Linked DNA regions of Diceros bicornis minor. The protein of the gene in region 1 interacts with the protein of each later gene in a biochemical or structural test. Links are inferred from orthologs where the notes say so. Each region holds a gene or a part of one and is shown on either strand. Other genes may lie near its edges.

Region 1 (10,652 bases):
GGCAGTTACTCTGTTAGAGCTGTCTGTCATTCACATCTGTGAATTTACACTATCTAATGCCATCCCAAGTGGTTGTTCCTACATTAAATGGAAGAAGTCAGTTTTGAGTGTTTACTATGAATATTTGAAAAAAATATTCTCATCCAGATCAACCGTTCTTTAAAAATAGATTCTATCAGAAAAAAAAAAAAAATAGATTCTATCAGTTCGGTCAATTATCAAAATTGTTTCTTCCAACAAAAACAGAATTGTTTTAATTATCTGATGTCCATAACTACTTTTTATTTTTACAAAAATGAGAACAGCATGCCTTATTAGGGTACCATTAGCCACAACATAATTTAGAGTTATTCAGAATACCTTACCGTCTAGAAATTTTTTAAGTTATTGTAACTGTCGAAATACTTAGCTTCACTTAAAATTATTTCAGCCCAAACCCAAAACCCAAGAAAAATCATTTTGATGGAAACAGTTCATTTCACTCCCTGTTAAACCCAACATAAAGCTAGATTCTCTGCTGTTTTAGCATAGTACTAAATGACATTTCGTTGCTACGGAAACGAAACTCTGCTACCTGTGGCCATGCTTTGTCAAGAATTCCTCCAACCAGTAAATTCTGTGCTGTGCATTCATAAAACCAATAGAATGGCTCTAAGCAACATAAAAATGAAGGCTTGATTTCCTACTTATGATTTGCCCCGTGCATATTTATAACATGTATACATATATGTACACATACATACATAATTATGGCTCTCCCAACTCCACCAAAAAGGTAAAACCCAACCAAATTTCCGTTTTAAAATGGGCATAAAAAACTGCTGCTTTAGATTTCATTGAATAATTGCCACCTATTTCCCAAAATTTATCTTAAAAGGTAATAGAGACTATCTAGAGAGAATTTTAAAAACAAGAAAATTTTTTATATCCAATCTCATTCCAAAAGGAAAAAAATTTTCCTGAGGCATCATTTCCTATATGTTCCAGTAACTGTGGCTTCCTTAGCAATGAGCTGATTTAGAAAACATCAAGCTAAAGAATAAAGAAAAAAAATGTGGTCATCACCACCTTTATGCCCCAAACTGCTTCTGCAGGCTACTCACCCTCACAGGGGGGCTCCAGGCTTGCACCCGTGGCTGCTGTCCACTCTGGGAGCTCTGCAGATCTTTTGAGCTACAATTAGCCACCGTGCTGCTCTGAGCCCTTAATGCATTTGTGCAGTTCGTCCCACTGCCCCCACCAGGGCCAGGTTTCCAAGGCCTCTGCTTGATGCCATCCAGAAGTCGGACCAGCAAGATGTTACTTGGAAGCTCCTCAACACCCGAGCCAACAAGAGTCCTGCACTCGGGACATCTGAGTTCATTTCGGGAACCTACGATCCCCAGCAAACATCGTTTGCAAAACGTATGCTGGCAAGGCAAGACCTTTGCAGAAGCATCAAGCCGCTCTAGACAAACAGGACACTCCAGAAGATCCAACAAGGCAGATTCATCCATCTTTATCTAGTTTACTGCAGAAACCGCTTCAGAAATGTTCATAGTTGTGGGCACCCCTTAAAGTGATTCATGTAACATCCATTTCAGACTTTGCTCTGGAGCCATGGGGGGAGAGGGAGAAAAGACAGAAAATCAGTATCGTTATCTGGGGAAAAGGCTCACAGAGGAGCCAAGAACCAAAAAGTACACAAAAGGGCTTCCTCTGAATAGTGTAGCTTTGCTTTGGAATGTGGTTCCTGAACTCCAAAGTCAACAATTAAAAACAAAATAGGCTTTTTAAACAATTCAAAATTAACTCCTAAAGATATCTAGGAGTTCACTGTGCAGAAATGGCTATCAAGTACCATACAGGATTCCTGCAATAAATAGGTTTTATGCAATGCAATAAAGAATATAATTTCTTCAGCTCTCAAAGTTATAACAGCTGCCTTAATAAAGTCCTCAACTCATATGAGAAGCTGAACAGAAGCAATGGAAAGTTTCCTCCACCTGAAATTACTTTTAAATCTAACAAAGTTCCCAATATTTAAGCCACTTTAGTATTTAAGAAACCATGCCTCACGTGATGGGTTGTGGTTAATGACCCCAATATTATTAAATACATATGCTTCTTCACTGGTCTTAAAAACAGAACTGTCTAATCTTGCCCAACCAAAATGAGCTGAAGGTTGACAATTCTAAAGGACACAACTCAACATTGGCTTGAAAGCAGCTAAAATATAAAGGCACCCTTCAGAGCAGTGGTTGACAAACTCTGAAACGGATTTCTGAACGGCCTGTCCTAATCCCATTCAGAAAATCTGGCAAAATTACCACCCAAAGAATTTGACAATGGAATGCTGGCCTGAAAACTGTGAGCATAATACGAAAATGGGGCCATTCAAGAAAAAGCATTTAAACCAGTGACTGCGCCGCTCTGCCCCCACCACCAGAATCAATGTAAACGTAAATGCCTAGGAGAAAGGGGGTAAAAGGATTTTGATGGGAGCATTAACAGCTGTTCTTGACAGTGTCGGGGCGGGGGAAGCCCTGGCGGCGCCCCTCTCCCACGCTGCCCGGCACAGGTACTCCGGACCGCAGGAGGCGCGGCGGGCGGCCGCCGCAGACACAGCCCGGAGCCAGGTGTCGGCGACACGGGGCCGGGGAGGGTCCTGGGCTGGGGCTGCGGCCCGGCGGGGCCGGAACGGGGCTCTCCTTCAGCAGCCTCATCTCCGCCTCCCTTTGGGTCAGGCCGGACACAAAAATCCCCCCGCGCGACTGCGGGAAGTTTTCAAGGACTTAAAGATGAATTCGCAGCCTTAAGTTGCGCAAGTCAGCCCCATCAAGTGCCAGCGGGAAAGAGCCAAAAGCCCGCAGAGAGGAGGCGGGAGTCCCCAGAGAGACCGGGCCAGCGGAGAGCAGGGGGCGCTGGGCTGCGCCCGGGAGACCGCGGCACCGAGCCCGGGCAGCTTCCTGCCGGGAGAGGGAGCGAGGCCCCGGCTCCGGGCCCACGGGGCCCCGCGGCTGGGGGACCGAGAGACTGACCAGCGCGGGGGGGGCCCCCGACCACCGCCTCCTCGGGTCCCCGCGCCCCCCCGCGCCCTACCTCGCGCCTCGGCTCCTCCTCTTTGTTCGTGGCCCCGCGGCGGCGGCGGCGGCCGAGGCAGATGCGGCCCCGCCGCGCTCGTCGCTCGCAGTGTCTCTGACGCCGCCGCGGCACCGGGAGACTCCTCTCTGCCGCCCCCCTCCCGCGCGCACACGCAGCCGCCGCCGCCGCCGCCGCCTCCCACTCTCCCAGCCCAGGAGGGCGGAGGAAGAGGAGGAGGACGAGGAGGACGAGGGGGAGGCCGGGCCGCAGCCGGCGCCCGGGGCGCGAGGGGGCGGCCCCGCAGCACAGCGCCTCCCCCCGGGCCGGCCGCGCCTTCCTGCCGGCGCTGAGGTACCTGCGCGCCTGGCCCCGCCGGTGCCCGGGGGCGGCTGGGGCGGCCGCCTAAGGGGGCGCTGCGAGCGCCGAGAGTCCGAGAAGCGGGGTCCCCGAGGGGAGTGAGGGGGAAGGTTTGGGGACAGACGCCGCCGTCTGAGGAAAACACGCCTGAAAAATGGAGCAACCGAAGGAGAGCGTGGGGAGGGGCAGCTGAGGGAAGAAGGCAGGCGCCACAGGGCAGGAGCGGCCACGTCGTCCTCCTGCCCGGCGGTGCCCGGCGGCCCGCGACGGACGATCGGGGCGGGCCCCGCGCGGCGCGGGAGGGGCTGGGTCCCGGGAAAGGGCGGGAGCAGCCCTGGCGGGAACTCAGCCCACTTTGCGCTGCCTCTGTTCGCCCAGCCCTGGAGAGCCAGTTGGGAGAGGACGAGCGAAGAGCTGTTACCCCCTTAGGACCCGGAGAGGCATGTTGAATCCGTGGCGGGACAGTCCCAGGGCAGCCGTCCACCCGCCGAGTCCCCGGCCGCCGCCGCCCAGCATTGCTCCCCCATCTGCCTGCTCCCAGGCATCACGCCGCCTCCGCCGGGACACAAACCCGAGCAAGCTGGGAGGATTGCTGCCCCAGAAACTCAAAATGGGCAGGGAGAGAGGCTAGGAAAACAGCAGTGTGGGTTTAAAACCCAGCCCTGGGAGGCCTTGTTATACCCGCCCTAAAAAGGGAAAATTCAAAGTCTGACCTCAGGTGAGCTGGCACCGCGAAGCCAGCTGAGAGGCGCCTCTTTTATCTGAGCCTGGGAGGCAGCCGTAACCATCACTGTAATCTTTGTTTTGGTTGCCCCAGGCACACACCTGTAAGCTCTGAAATGCAGTTTTGAAAAACCTGTCCACAGGTTTTGAGGTTTGTTTTTCAGACTCAATTTAGAGGGAAAACAAAATTTTGTCATTATCTCCAAGACGTTATTATTTTATTTACATTTACCATCAGCTTACAAAAAGCTATCCCAAATACCCTTCCTCAAAGGTGTACAGAAACTAGGTGAAAACAAGGAGAAGGGGTTACAGATATTATGCAAGAAATCCCTGCCTGGCCACTAACCAGGCTGACATTTTGAAGAGGAGCCAGATTATCTCCACTCTCTGGCCAGGGCCACAGCTAAACCATTCAAGACAGATGAGAATCACCTAGTAAGAAAAAATTATAATAGCTAACAATTATTGGTCATTCACTGTATGCCAGTCACTGCACTAAACATTTTACATGCATTAATTTAATCCTCATTGCAACCCTGTACGTCATCCCCCCTTAGCTTTGTTCAAGTAGATTAGCATGCTGAGAGCCATACTGTGTGAATACCAGAAATAATAGCCCAATTCCCCCTCCATTAGAAGTGAGCAAATACACATGCATTTGAGCTGAGAAAGCAAGGGAAGGAATGAACACAATGGAAAATTTTTAATCCAGTAATCTACAAACAAGGCACTGTGAAAGTGACTACTTAGCCCATATACTGCATCTGGAACTGTGCAGATGAAGGAGAGTCTGACTGGAAAGTTACAGTCAGTAAACAGATAAATATTATTACATGCAGTTTACAGTTATTAAAACTGAAGCTCACATAGGTTCACTTCATCCCCACATCACACATTCGATAAGTAATATTGGACCAAGACTCAGCCTCAGGTCTCTAGATGCCAAGTCCCCTCTCTTTTACACATCACCTCAGGCAAAACCAAGTTAACTATGTCTTCTCCCAAGGGAAAGATGACACTGTCAATCATGAGGTTACTCTGAAGAGCAAGGGACAATTTTTGTTTAGTGATTTTGGTTTTTTGTTTTTACGGAGAACAGAATACAAAGTCATGTGTGGAATGGTGCAGCTCTTGAAACTAGCCAAGAAAATCAGTAGTCACACCCATTATCAAAGAGCTGAAGATAGTGACTAAGACTGCAGTCATCAAAGAAACCCGCACACATCCCATGAATATTACCTGGAACATAGCTGCAGTTCTTTGAACATCCCTGATGCCAGTTCACTATATTTTTTAGAACACAACTCTTTTATTAGCCTAATTACTCTAGCTGTAATATGAATTTTTAGGAAAATTACATTAATTTCTTGAGCCATTGTCAATGCAAATAATCCATAATCAATCTATAAATCAAAATTTGGGGTGAGTTTATTATGAGTCAGGTCTGAGGACTATAGCCCGGGGGGCTTCCTTTCCCAAGGAAAGAAGCACACCCCAGAAATGGAGTGTACAGAGTGGTTATATACTGTCTTGGGACATCAAATATGACAGGAATATCTCTTTTACTACTGTCATAAGATGCTTAGCTGGCACAGCAGGTCAGTGGTCACAAGGTGAGCACAGCAGTTTGGTAATTAATCCTTAGTTTTTAGGAAGAGATGCTTATCCTTAAAGAAATGCTGATATAGGGGAAAGCTACATCCCTATCCCTATCTTTAAAGGGCATCATTCTTGTCTTTGGGACATTGTAGACGTTTAAAGCAGATGTACAATGCATGCTCAACAGACCACATCAGGCCCCTTTGGAAGAACAAGGTCAGGCCAAGTTATTTTTAAACAAAATGGGTTCCTCAAATACTCCAATTTATCTTATTGCTTTTCATTTATTCATCACCAACTTCCTTCTGGCAAATGGTGAAAAAATAATACCTTTCTTTGAGTGTTCTTGGAGGATTCAGTGAGACAATGTGCTAGATCTTTGTAATCTGTACATCTCTATTAAAGAAAGATACCATCATTGTCATTATCTGCCAAGAATTACCCAGACAGAGTTATCCTGGGCAAAATCCTTTCTTCCCAGGGTCTTAAAAAAGTTTGAGACAACACTAATTGCAAAATCCTGTCAAGAGAATACTATAGGAAAAGGGACAGTTGGGGAAAGAGAAGTATGTACATCTTACCATTTCTGGGAACTGAACTGAAGAAAAGAATGTAAGCAAGATATACTTATGGTCCCTGTGACTTTGAGTAGATCTATGAAAAATACAAACACACTCTGTACATAAAAATGGCAGCTTGGATTTATACAGTTCTTATCCTCCTGAGACGTCAGAGTACTTTCATATATGTTATTTATGTTCTCAGCATCCCTCCGAAGCAGTAAAGACAGATATAATCATCCCCATGTTGCAGATGGGAAAAAATGAGGTATAGAGAAGTTATTGCTCTTAGTGATCTTATGACACAAATTAGGCTTTTAAATTCCCAGTCCAGAGCACTCTTTTGTGAACTTGGGTGTCATGTTTACACATGCATATATATACGTGTCTGATCATCATTTTCCTTCAAAACTTACTCCTCCTCCAGTTGCCACAATATTGGTAGATGGCAGCACTATTTACCCAGTTGTTTAAACTAAAAATCTAGGGATCATCTTTGATTTCTCCCTATTCCTCTCTATCCCTCTCCATCAACAAGTCTGCCAGCTACCCCCAAATTATATTTCAATTTCTACCCACTTCCCTCTGCCTCCATTGCACCTTTATTTAAGCCACCATCACTCTTTGCCTCTGGTCCTCCTAGCCAGCTTCTCTGCTTCCAGCCCTGTTCCCACAATCTTGCCCTGAATGTAGTGACATTCAGGGCAAGCTACAAAAAATGCGTAACAGATATGTTGTTACTCCCTTTCTCGAAACCCGTCAATTTCTTCCCATTATACTTGGAATAAAAATCAAATGCCTTCCACGTCTTAGGAGCCGCTATGTCACCTGGACGCTGCACCATCATGCTCTACCACGGCGCTCCATTTATCTTCTTTATAGTACTTTTTACAGTCTAATTTTTTGATTCCTTATTTATTGCCTATCTCCCTTACCTGGATATAAGCTCCCTGAAGGCATGGACTGGATCTGTCTTCTTCACCATTGTATCCTTGACAGCCAACCAATAGTGAGTACCAGTGAATAATTCTCAGAGAGGAAATTAAGTATAGAATTATATTTGTTACTGTCCTAAAGCTACATATATACTTAGTACTTCATTGCCCTACAGAGAGGAAATCAGGCAGACAATGTTCCAAATTCCATTGAGTCATTCTTCTACTAGTTTTTACGTAGAAGAAGAGGACACATGATTCGTCCTCTTATATTTCACAGTTAGGCTAGAGAAATGCCAGCTATATAACAGAGAACATAATGGAATACCAGTTTGTCTTCATTCTAGATCTTAGTTAATGGTGTCACCATCTACTGAGTTCCCCAAGCAAGCAAGAAAAATGCAAAGTTATCTTCAATTCTTCCTTCTCTCTCTGCTCCCTCCCCTACCTCCCATCCAGATAGATGATCCAGAGTTCATCAGAAATGCTTCTTACACCTGTCCCTTCCTCCCAATCTTTATTTCACGCCTGTTTATCTCCTACTTGAACAATAACTACTTTCCCTGCTTTCAGTCTCTCCAGGGTACTTGATTCTGGAGACAGCTTTGGAGTCGAAGGCTCTTTCATCTACTAACTGGGCAAGTTTCTAGTCTTCTGTGCCTGAGTTCTAAAGTGGGCATAATACTACTACTTACCTCAGGGATTTTGTGGAGATTTTACATAAGTTAATACAAATAGAATGCTTTGAACTATGCCCAACACATGGTAAGTGCTTAATAAATGACAGCTAATATTATTATTTTTATTAGAATCTAGATTCAATCCTGGATCTATTACTTGTTAACTGAACGACTTTCCAAATTTCTTTAATTTTCTGACTTTCAACTTCCTTATCTATACAAATGGGTATGTTATCCACTTTGAAAGCTTGTTGTATAAAGTTGATGACAAAACTCATTGAAAAATCTAGCACAGAGCCTTTCTGGCACATAGTGGGGACTCAATAAAATGTTCGTTTCCTGCCTCCTTTCCTATGTATCTATCTGCATCTATTTCTAATTAGAGAGTGGATTGGATTCTCTCTAAGGTTCTTTCTAGCATTAAAAGTTTATCTCCATCCTAATTGCACAAAGGACATCTAAAGACAATGAAATCCCCTTGTAAAAAGCCAAGTGGTCATGAGGCACCATAGTTGTCAGGAAATGGGCTGTTAGAGTCAGGCAAACCCAGAGAAGCTATTTTGGTCTGCAGTAGTGGGAAGGTGGTGCACACTCCCCTGTCTGGCAAAAAATCTGAACAGATGGAGTATTTATAGGCACTCCGCAAGGATTTCAGTTCAGTCAGAATGGATGCTAAGGAGAAAAACTGATGAGTGGGAGGTAACTGAACCGCTTCTTCCTCCAACCTTCTTGAAACAGGTCTGAACATTTGAAGAGCTGTTTGACAGCAGAACACCTGGGGTGGGGAGAGCTGGAGTTCTCTAAGCTGACTCGAATTCTAACCCAGCCTTCAGGGAGTGGTTCTTGAGGTTTAGTGCAGTCAGAATACCTGCAAACCTCATTAAAAATGCAGACAGCCTAGCCTCATCCCTAGAGATGCTCACTTAGTAGGTCTAGCATGGGTTCAAGAATCAGGTGATTCTAATGTGGGTGATGCTGGGACCACAATTTGAGAAATACTAAACTCAAGTCACCCAGAGGAACATTAAAAGAGAGATACCCCAGGTGCTGACAAGGGAAACTAATCTATAAAGGGCCATCTAGGGCTTTGGTTTTGTTACGAAGGATATGGGAGCTTGAAGCCATTGCTGGTTTGCTGAGGACAACAGGAGAGTGACTGAGTGTTGCCACCTCCAGTCGGCCTCCCTCTTCCATGCCCATTCCATGCAGTGCTCAGCCTTTCCTCTTAATAAATGCTGGACAGATTTTTAAAGAATATCAGTTTAAAAAGGAGTCAAAATATTAGCCTGCCCAGAAAAACACACGTGACTGGCCCCAAGTTACCCCAGGACCCCAAATGTGGACCAGGGTCACCCACATGAAGCTCAGAAGGTCCTGTTGCTTGGTACTGTTCAACTTCAATGCCTGAAAAACTAGATGCCCCTAATATATTTGTGACCCAAGTTCAAAGATAAATTTAACCTATATGGGAATAATATAATAGGATTCCTTCCTTTCTATTAAAAATACTTTCTCTTGTCAAATTCCTTATCATTTCAAAAGTTTAAACCTTGAAGTGGTCTTTTGCTTCTAAGCAAACTTTACCTAACCCAAACTCTTAGAGAGAGAGTAGATAAATATCCATCACTTTACCTAACCATCTTCGGGAAATGAAATTCCATAATCTTTCTTGGTAACTCATCTTTATATATTAAAGGTTGTTTATCAGTTTTCAGAATTCTTTTTTTCTGATCAAATTTAAAGATAAAGGTTGACTTTTCTAATGCATTCAAATAGGCCAGCTTAAAAACACATACACAAGGAAAACGTACATGAATTCACTAGAGACTCATAATATATGACCCAGGTTTCTTTCTTCATTATAATAGTGGGCAAAAGGTGTGGGCTTTTCTCAATTTATCCACCCTAATTCACATGTGTACTCAAATACAAGCCCATATTCTTTGATTCCATAATGAGTAGAAATGATGCCATAACATCTACTCTTGTCTATAGCTAAAATTTCACCTTCTCTCTTTCTTGCTCCTAAATAAAATGAGTATTTATTCTTGTTTTTAAAAGCATAATTATCATCATACCAGGTACTGATCATGCTACACTTCAAACCTATTTTTCTGAAAACTTGCCTGAATTCAGTAAGTGGTTTTCCTCCTTTCACTGAAGTCAATTTCCTTACTATATTTCTGCCCCTCATTCCCCTTAACCTGTACCACCAAAATTTTCATCCCAACCTTCACATTGTTCCTTAGAATTTCTGTCCTCAGAGTTTCTTATACATGTTTTCTTCTTTTTTTTTTTTAAATTTTGTGTGATGTATGAATCAGACAAGTGTATAAAGTATAAAGGGGCAATTTGAAAATCTTTTTTTTAAGTAATAAATGTAATTTTTAAGATTAAATTTCCATTCATCATTTTAGGCCATATAAATTAATCTGATGGAATATCTAATAAATTTATTATAGAACATTCCCCATGTAAATTATATGATATATAAATAAAAGTGCTGAATGTATTAATGGTTGATGTTAATGAATTAGACCTAAGTATAGCAATATAGAAGACAGTGTTTTTAATCATCTCACTCAAAATAATCTCTTTTCCCTGTAACTAAAAATGAATGGCTGCCGCGTATTTTAAAAATAGGAAACCAAGATGGTATCAGTCCAGTTGACAGTCTTTCTCTTTGACAAGATTGTGGAAGACTAAAGATTAAGATAATTTCCTTGTTTTCC
Region 2 (9,906 bases), on another chromosome or scaffold:
CGGAGCACGCGCACTTAACCGCTAAGCCACGGGGCCGGCCCTGCCCCCTTGTTTATTTGCTGGCTTTAGGATTTGTCTCCCTCAGCTCCGTGGGAGTAGGGCCTCTGTCAAGGACACCACTGTACCCCCAGCACCTGAAGCAATGCAGGCATGCAGTAGATGCTCAATAAATGGTGGCGGTCAGCTCCGCAATGCCTTCGGATCAAACCCACACCTCTCACCCAGGCCCCTGAGGCTTGGCGCAGCTGGGCCCCCGACTCCCACCAGCACTTCTGCTCGTGCCCACCCTTCCACCTCGCAGCCTTCAAAAGGGCTGACCCCACCGAGGTCAAGGCCCTTCCCGCCACTCCAGGGGCTGTGGTGGAGATTCAATAAAAGCACCACAGGAAGGGGCTTTAGCAGGGCCTGACATCTAGAAAGGAGCTAGAACTGCGACCTTGGAGAGGCTCCAGGCAGCAACTGTGTGGGACAGGGAGGGGACCTGGGCACTGCATTTGCCCGTTTTTAGTTGATTATATGTCCCCTGGCTTCCCAACCTCCCAGAACCTCCGTTTCCTCATCTGGAAAATGGAGATGCTAATTTTGGCCCCGCCCTCCTACTGGTGTTATCTGACAAGGCTCTGTGATCTGGGAAAGGCCTTCAAAATCCTAGCAGAAGTAACAAGGATTACAACTGCGAAGATATCCTGAAGGCTCCTTGTGGGTCCGGCACTCTTCCACAACAGTGGGAAGAAGGACCATTTACCGCAGCCTTACCGCTATGCCAACACAGCTATAAATGCTTTCTACAAATTAACCCATTTAACCTTCACAACAACCCATCACGTGGGAATTATCATCGTGCCATGATAGCGATGAGGAAAGGGGCTCAGAAGGGTTGAGGAACCTGCTGAAGGTCACACAGCCAATGAGTGGCTGGGCTGGATTTGACCCCTGTGCTCTAAATCGCTTCAGTGCGATGCTTTACAGAGGTTAGAGACCAAGATGCTGGATTCCTGGATCCTGGATGGGCCATGCTGGGGGGCTGGATAGCCCGACGCTTGAGAGGACCAAGGGTAGGGGTCAGGGAGGATAGATGACCTCTGGACTGCCGACTGAGCATTTACAGCGCCAGACACTATTCTAGGAGCTTCTTGTGGATCAATTCATTTAATCCTCACAACAGCCCGAGGTGGGTGCCATTCTGAGACTGCTGCACAGAGACGAACACTGAGGCCCAAGGTCACACAGCCAGAACGTGAAAGCACCAGCACTTGCATGCATGCCCACTACACCACCCTTGTGCACGGACCTCTAACTCAGGTCCCCTGGTAGCTGTGTCACCCCCTGCATGTCTCTCTTACTGTTCTCTGCCAGCACACACTCTGCCCCAGGTTAAAAGATCTCCGGGCTCAATTCTGAGAAGAGACTAGATTGCACCAGCAAGCCCAGAACTGCTGGACCGGCTGCCGGCAGAGGTGCTCCCAGCAGCCCTGGGCTCAGGGGATGAGGGGAAGGAACTGCCCAAGGGCGCAGGTGGCAGGGCCCAGGGCAGGTCCTTTGAGGTGACAGACCCACTGCAGCTTGAGACCTGGTGAGCAAAGAGTGTGTGACACCAGGGACAAACCAACCTGTGTTCAAACCCCAGCCTGGCCCCTTAGGGTCTGACAGACCTAGGGCAAGGCAATTCCCCTTCTGAGCCCCAACTGATGACTCTGCAAAATGGACAGAAACACCATATCCACCCCTCGGCAAAACTAAACCACTGTTCCAGTTACTCTGACAAGAGGTTCGTTCTGAGGCCAAGCCGGGCCAGGGGTTCACATGCCAGCTCTGCCACTTCCCGCCGGTAGACGTCGGACAAATCATTTCACTTCACAGCAGGTGTCTCAGTTTTCTGATCAGTGAAATGGGTGTCACTTCTCCCCACCTCATAGGAATGTGTGAAACGGGCATAACCATACCTACCCCATAGGTGTGTTTTGAGATTTAAACGAGGTCACGTGTGTAAAAGGTCTGTCACGTGCTTGACATACAGTGAATATTCAATAAACACTGGCTATTCACTAGCTCTGGAAATGATTTGCTTCTGTGTGCCTCAGTTTCCCCTTCTAAAATGCAGATCATGACAACAGTACCCACGGCTCTAGGACATGAGCACTCAGCAAGTTAACCCATGTGAAGCATTCTGAACAGCGAGTGGCACAGAGAATGCACTGAATACATGTCAGCCATCAATCTCATGATTATTGTTTTTACTGCTGCTGTTAACCCATCAGACAAACCCTCTAAAAGCTGGCAGAAGGAGACTAGAGGAACAAACCCCTGGTGGAGAAAAACTCTACAGAGTCACCACAGCCTCGCAGAGACTCAGGGACCTTCCTCTCCAGGAACCACAACCCTCGGAAGCCAGTCAGCTCGGAAGCCGACGCTGTGGACCAGAAGCGACCATCTACCCCCATAGACCACATCACCAGTCTGTGCTAGCTGGGTCAGTCAGGGACTGTGGCCACCCTCCAGAAACTCCAGACCCAGGACAAAGGTTACGACGCAAGCCAAGGTCACAAACTGGCCTGGGGAGCAGGGGCAGTGGCCTCACGTTTGGAGCTAGCTGCTCCAAGCACCCATACCCAGCGACCACAAGAAACCAGATCCCTAGGGGATCTGACAGCCCCAAGTCCTTCAGAGCAGCCTTCCTCCCTGGGCTGGGCTGGGCCAGGGGCACCCCCCACCCCCACCCAACCCACCAGAGTCCCCTTGGCCTATGCGGAGAGGAACAGCTGGGAAAACAGCGCTCAGCCTCACTGCCGCCTAATGGTGAGGCCAACTGTCAGCGCCTGGTGGGGAGCGTAAACATGATGGGCCGCTGGACTGCCAACCCGGGAGACACAAACAGCCTCACGGCCAGGATGGAGGGGGCTGCGGTGGTCTGTGTGGGTGCCTGGCCCCTTCGCACCCACACTAACCAAGGTCAGGCTGGGACTGAACTCCTGATGCTTCTCTGAGATGGGAAGAGTGGACAAAGTTGAAAGGAAGCCCACAGAAGGACCCAATTACTCCAGCTCAGGCCTCTAAATGAGGAGTCCTCAGAATCCAAAGAATCGAGATGTCCCCATCCACCTTGCCCTGGTGGAGAGCTGTCCCTCCAAACATTCCTTCCTCCCAAGTCTTAACAAGCAGGTCCAAGGGCGCAACTCCTCAAATCCAAGCTGGATACCCCCTCCCCTCCCTAATATGGAGCCGAAAGCTCAGAAAACTTCAGACGGCGGCTTCTAAGACATCTACCCACCCAACCCTCCGGCCCTGGAAGGAAACAATTTGCCACAGAGGTGGCCCACACACCTTAAAATAAGGCTTAACACTATGAAAGGGTTCCGAGGTAGACAGAAGTCCCCGTGACCATCCAGTTTCCCCCAAAGTCATTACGAAGTTCAATAAAGTGACCCTCCCACTCCAGCTCAGTGTAAACCCCCAAGCCCCACCCACCAAAACACAGGCGGCAGAAGCCCCTCATCACTCGGCGTTACAGCCCTCCCCAAATACCCCCCTAAACACCCACTTGGGCCTGCCCCGTCCCTCGGAGATTATAAACATCGCAGCCCTGCTCCTCTGATAGAGCGCTGCTCTCGTTCTAAGGACGGCTCCCCCCAGCTCCTCAGTGGTATAACCCGGACAGCGCTACCCCGACCACACTTGGTACAGGCCCCTCCCCAGAAGCCCCCATCTCTCTAAACACACTATAAGAACGGCTCCCGCAGCCCCGGAGAAGGACAGCCCCTACACTTGGTAAGGCGCGCCCCCTCCATGGCTAGCTCTCGCACACCAGGCACGCTCTCTCTTCACACCCCACTAGTTCAGCCCCCAGCCCGCACACGCCGGGGTCTGCGCCCCCACCCTTCAGTGGTTCGGTCCTCTCACTTTGGTATGCCCCCCCCCCGCGGCCTCAGTGGTACGGCCCGCCGCCCCCGCCCCCGGCCCCTCAGGGCTAGTCCTCCGCCCCCGCCCAGCCACCCTTCCTCAGTCCCGGAAGGGGGGGCTCGAGGACGCGGTCCCCGCCCGGCGGGCACGGGTGGTACGGCCCAGCGCGGCCTCGCGGGGGGTCCGGACGCGACCATCGCAGGGTGGGGGGGCGCTCGGAAACACGCGCTGGCGCACTCACCTGTCACCGGCGGCCGCCCAGCCTCTCCGGCGGGGCTCTACTCCCGCCCATCGCCACGCTGCGCTTGGTCCCGCTCCTTGTGTTTCCTGGCGGCAGCAACGGCGGCAGCAGCGGCAACGCCTTCTCCGAGCCAGGCCCAACGGCTCGCGAGGCGCGGCCCCCCCCGCCCCCTCCCCCCTGCCCCCGCTTACCGCCCCCTCCCACCCTCTGGCCGGAAATACCGCCTTCTCCCGCCACAAACAGGAACTGACGTCAAAGAGCGAGAGCTGGACTCGGAGAGGGCTAGAGCGCAAGCGCAAGGAAGGGGCAGAGACGGACTCAGAGCAGGGCGCCTGCGTACATTAGGCAAGTTTGGGCCTGTGTGGGTAATGGCCGTGTCTCGCGCAGGCGCGGGACGGAAAGAAGGGATAGGAGTGCGCAGGCGCAGTAGGCCTCTGACGCCTGCTTTCCCTAGAGGCTATAGCCGCAGTGACGTTTCCCGGCAGTCCCTGGTCCTTATTTACATACGCTTTGATCTCGCTTTTCTCTGCTGTCGCCTTTCCTCCCGGTTCCGAGGCTCTTAAAGAGCCCTGGAGCGGGGCTTAGGAGGGGTGGCCTTTTCAGCATGTCCCTCCTGGTTGCGCGCAGGCTCTGAAACCACACAAACCCAGCTTTGCATTTTCTTGCTGGTGACTGTGGACAGAAGGCTCCACTGTTTCCTGTGCCTCAGTATCCACATCTGCAAGATGGCAACAACCATAGCTGCATCACTGGGCTACTGGACTATTTTATGTACACAGAACAGTTTATATCAGACAGTCTATGACTCCAAAATATGCAACCTACCTGCTCATCATACATATTCAATTAAATATGGGGTTTAACTTTTTTATGGGGTAACTTGCGCCTTTAAAGGCGTTAAGATCGCTTTGCAAGGAAAGAGCTTTGCACAGATCCTGGCCCATACATTAGCTAGCATACTAGACAGCTGTGGGACATCTGGCGCCTAGTCCCTTCTCTCTCATAGGTTGGGTGGGGCTTGCTACCTTCTGAATTTGGGTTCCAGGATGCCCCACAGCTTGTCAGGTATGCATTGGTTAGTGCATACTTCTTCTAGAAGGCTTGGCTGGGAGTCGAAGAATCCTGGGTCCACCTAAGTCTGTGAGGGTGTCTCAAGCAAGTCCTGCTCAAGGGTGGATCTTGGTTTTCTCAGAGGTAAACCTAATGTTGGAACTAGCCCTTAGGTAATGGGTTTCCAGCTTGGAACTCGCTGCTCTGTATTCCTAATTCATGGTTTTCTTCTATCCCAGTGTTGATAACTCTGACCAATGCCTCCCCCACCACAGCCCTGACCATTTTAGTCCCTTAGTGTCTGGTGACAGGTCTGTCTCCTCCACTGCACAGAGAGCCCCACGAGGCAAGGGACCAGGACTGTCTCAGTCATCAGTGTGTACCCAACACGGGCCAGCAAAAGTCCTGGCACAGAATGGACTCTTGGGGAATATTTGTTTCAAGAATTATCCCTTCTGCTCTAATCTACATTCAAGTAGTCACTGTGGCCTACACTCTTTGCTCCTCTCCATGCTGCACAGCTCACAGCCCATCCCCCTCCCTCTAAATCTTCCTGGGCTAACTCAGTCCCTGCCCCTCCTAGGGCACACAATGGATTATCTCACTGAAACATCCCATGTGGTTACGTATAAACTCCTTGGGACAGTGGTCGTGGAAGGTCATGGCTTTCAAACCATTTTAAGACCTAGTACACACATACGTGGACTTACAGTATAATGAAACAAAGTGTCACCAAACACTATTTACTCTTATGTATGATGCACTCTGATTTTTTTTTTTCATTGCTGTTAGAGACCCTGCTGACTGATTTTCTGACCCACTAATGGGTCGTGCCTTGCAGTTTGAAAAACACTAGTCTAGGGGTGAACAGTGCTCACTGGCTTTGGAGGGAGACAGGCCTAGTTCTAATCATGCCTTTCCTGTGTCCTTGTCAAAATCACTTCACTTCTCTGAATTTGCCTTTCCTCATTGCAAAATATCAATAGAATTTATTTAGCAGTTGTTACTGGCCAGGTTCTGTTCTTAAGACATTCCCAGCGATGCTACCCTGTTGCTGGCAACACAATCTTAGAGGTCAGATGCAACAGTACCTTAAGGGGCTCACTCAAGGTCCCAGGATAAGTTGCGGTAGAGGTGGGATTTGAAGCCAGGCGGTCTGATACAAGAGCCTGCGGTTTGAACTCACATCATGCTGGAAAATAGAAAGTATTATTGGCCCTACTTCTGTCCCCTGTGTTGCTTTGGCAAACCACTTAATTATCATTTGGGGGCCTCAGTCTCTCAATTTCCACCTCAAGGGTGATTGAGGAGAAAATTCCCTAAAACCCCAAATTGTTCTCTACCCTCTAATCTGTTCTGTGAACTCCCCGCCCATGACTATAAATATGGGCTGTGCATGCATTTTTCTGGGGAGAAGGGCCAGTGGCTTCTCATCTGAAGTCTGCTCAAAGTCCTCTTAATTCAGAAAAAAAGTGATTTAAGAATCCTGCCCTGAGGGATGGAGAGGGCATCTCCCTCTGTCCCCAAGGAGCAGAAATCAGCCCCCGAATCTGTTTCAACCCTTCTCACCAAGACTGGGCTCCCAATGGTGACTGGACAAGCTGCGTGGACCAGCTCTTAGCATCCCCAAATGAGGAGGCTTCCACTCCATCCCCACGAGGTCCGGAGGTCTATCCTTGGCAGTGGTGGAGGTGGCCGTGGGGGGAACCCTCCCTGCCACATGGGCAAGCAGGCAAAATCAGAATTCCTCATTTCTTCATCTGAAGCAAAGCATTTTCGAGGGAGAAAGTCCATAGCATTGATCAGATTCTCAGAGAAGTCTGGAACCGTTAGAAAAAAAAAGTTTTTATTTAAAAGAGTTTCCCACGGTATACAGAAATGTTGAAATAATATCTTTGAGTCCCCAGCCAGAAGTCACTAAGCCCCCACCCTAGATGCTACTGTGTTGGGAAGATCCTTTTAGAGTCACTTAAGTGTTTGGCAGAGGTACAGATAAGCCTCAGGGATTCTGTAAATGTTGGTTCCAATTTCCTTTTTATAAAATATGTTTCTGTTTCAAAAATTGTAATAGAAGACACCATGCACCATGCACATTCAACTTTTTAACACATCAGAGATTCCCAAAACGTTTACATGGTCGTGCTAGGCTAATGCACTCTTATGCAGACCCTGGGAGGAAGCTTTTTCTACTCGGTAAGATTGAACACTTTACCGATCTGCTCCAAACACATGGATGGCTTCCCATCCCCTGTGGAATAAAAGCTAAAGGCCTCACCATGGCCTTCTGTGAGCTGCCCCTGCCTATCTTTCTAACTTCATCTCAAGCTGCTCTTGCCCTTGACCACTGTCTTCTAGACACACTAACCTCTTCTCTGCCCCTTCAAAAAGATAAGCTTGTTCCTACCTCAGGGCCTTTGCACTTGCTGTTCCTGTTGCCTGGACTGTTCACCCCCCTGATCCTGATCTTTTCATGACTGGCCCCTTCTTGTCTTCCAGAACTCAGTTCAAATCTCACTTCTTTAGAGAGGCTTTCCCTGGCCATCCCAAATCCAAGAGGGCCACACTATCACTATCTCTGTAGCATCTTTGAATTCCCTACTTAACACTAGACACTAAAAGCTATTTTTGCTGTTTATTTTGTAACTGTCTTCCCCCAAACCAGGATATAAATTTGCCCTGAGGGCCAAGACCTTGTCTTGGGCACCACTGTATTCCCAGCCCCTAGAACAATGCCTGGCACCTAGTTGGGACTTGGGGATCAATAAATATTTGTTGACTGAATGTGGTTTTGACTGGGAAAGTTAAGGCTCTGTGTGTATGGACTGATTTTTACTTCAGGTCTGAACTTGCCTGCTCACAAATAAGTTGAACAAATAATAATAATCTCTTAACCTTTATTGAAGAATTCCCCTGAAGTATCAGGTGCAGTGCCAAGAATATATCCATGACCTTGTTACATGTTCCTGCAGGAAGAGCCTCTGTGACTCTAGAATATGTGGCCCCCAGGTCCATTCCCAAAGATGTCCCAGGCCAAGCCCACGCTTGCACCAACAGCACTCGACACCACCTCCATGGGTCCAAATTTGAGATACAGCAAAGTCTTGTTTTATGCTAAGTTAAAGTACGTGGATTTGAAACAGCAAAATACCTAGAACACAGTTTCATACATGATTAAGAAAAATTGAGATAATATGAATATCACCTAGCTTTTTTTAGGTCATCAAGAAGGGAATCATTTCACAGCAGCAGACAAGGTGACTTAGAAACCCTATTCGCGCTGTTGCCACAAGATGGCGCCACATGAGCTGGCCATCCCCGCTGGGCCGGGCTGACTCCCAGGCATCAAGCCGACCTGGAGCAAGTTGGGCGAACTTTGTGCTGTTATTGCAACATTCACTGTTTAAAAGGGAGCTCTGACACGGCACCTAAATGCAACACGTGATCCGGAATTGGATTCTGAGCCAGGGGAAAAATGGCAATAAGGAACATTACTGGGAAAATTGATGAAATTGGAATATGAACGGGGGTTTAGATAAGAGTATTGATTCCACGTGAAATTTCTTGATTTTTGATAGTTGTACTAATTCTTATGAAAGAGAATGTTCTTGTTCTTAGGAAATACACAGTGAAGTATTCCTAGGTAAAGGGTCATGGTGTTCTCCACTTTAACTCTCAAATGGTTCAAAAACACAGCATGTGTATCTGTACGTATGTATGTATGCCTACGGGGAGGGGGTGGGGGGAGGAGGGAATGATAAAATAAATGAAGTGAGAACTGGCAAATCCGGACAAGTATACGGGAATCCCTTGAACTATTCTTGCTGCTTTTCTATACGTTTACAATTACACTAAAATACAGAGTTACCCAAAAAGCTCTTTTTTGTAGCCAATGAGAATGTCATTAAAGGGTTCTTTAAGTGGTGGTGCTAGTGCTGGTGCTGAAAACTTTCCCTGAAAATCATCAATTTCAGAGATAAAATTAGGTAACAACACTGTGCCAGGCGCTGTTGGAAGCCCTTCTCACCAATCGACTCATTTAATTCCCACAATTGGGCCGGCCCTGTGGCTTAGCGGGTAAGTGCGCGCGCTCCGCTGCTGGCGGCCCCTGTTCGGATCCCGGGCGCACACCGACGCGCCACTTCTCTGGCCATGCTGAGGCCGCGTCCCACATACAGCAACTAGAAGGATGTGCAGCTATGACATACAACTATCTACTGGGACTTTGGGGGGAAAAAAAAAGGAGGAGGATTGGCAATGGATGTTAGCTCAGGGCCGGTCTTCCTCAGCAAAAAGAGGAGGATTAGCACAGATGTTAGCTCAGGGCTGATCTTCCTCACAAAAAAAAAAAAAAAAACTAATTCCCACAATTATCCTTTGAGGTAGGTGCTGCTACTACTCCCATCTTAGTGAAGAGGAAACTGAAGCACAGAGAGGTTGAGTAACTTGCCCAAGATCACACGGCTACAGAGCTCAAGCTCTGAATCGTAGCAGACCATCAAGAGGGCCAAAGGATCACCAGGATATGCTATACTGATGACTTAGGAGCAAGCACTATCCCAAATATGAGGCAAAAAGGCAGCTTTAGGGAAAACTTTGGGACAATGAAAGTAGGTTTATGTGCTCTGAACCCCTGCCTCGACTTGACATTCAAGTCTAGGCACAAGTCAGTCTTGAATTAGGCAAGGTTTAACCCAAATAAGAGGGAAATGAAGTGGCTG

What was found. The genes of interacting proteins can lie anywhere in the genome.
Region 2: the proteins of SH3RF1 (region 1) and AKT2 form a complex in vitro, tested with the Homo sapiens proteins (2 studies listed by BioGRID and IntAct, with this or other methods). The link is inferred for Diceros bicornis minor from reciprocal best matches to the Homo sapiens genes SH3RF1 and AKT2.

Annotation. Positions count from the first base shown.
Region 1 is NC_080750.1:56,096,374-56,107,025, forward strand, and holds the start of SH3RF1 (E3 ubiquitin-protein ligase SH3RF1), read right to left. Parts: upstream 3,986-10,652; 5' UTR 3,842-3,985; intron 3,785-3,841; exon of another isoform or gene 3,082-3,784; intron 1,592-3,081; 5' UTR 1,497-1,591; coding exon 1,104-1,496; intron 1-1,103. UniProt on the Homo sapiens protein: Has E3 ubiquitin-protein ligase activity. In the absence of an external substrate, it can catalyze self-ubiquitination. Stimulates ubiquitination of potassium channel KCNJ1, enhancing it's dynamin-dependent and clathrin-independent endocytosis.
Region 2 is NC_080773.1:13,914,305-13,924,210, forward strand, and holds the start of AKT2 (RAC-beta serine/threonine-protein kinase), read right to left. Parts: upstream 4,293-9,906; 5' UTR 4,139-4,292; intron 1-4,138. UniProt on the Homo sapiens protein: Serine/threonine kinase closely related to AKT1 and AKT3. All 3 enzymes, AKT1, AKT2 and AKT3, are collectively known as AKT kinase.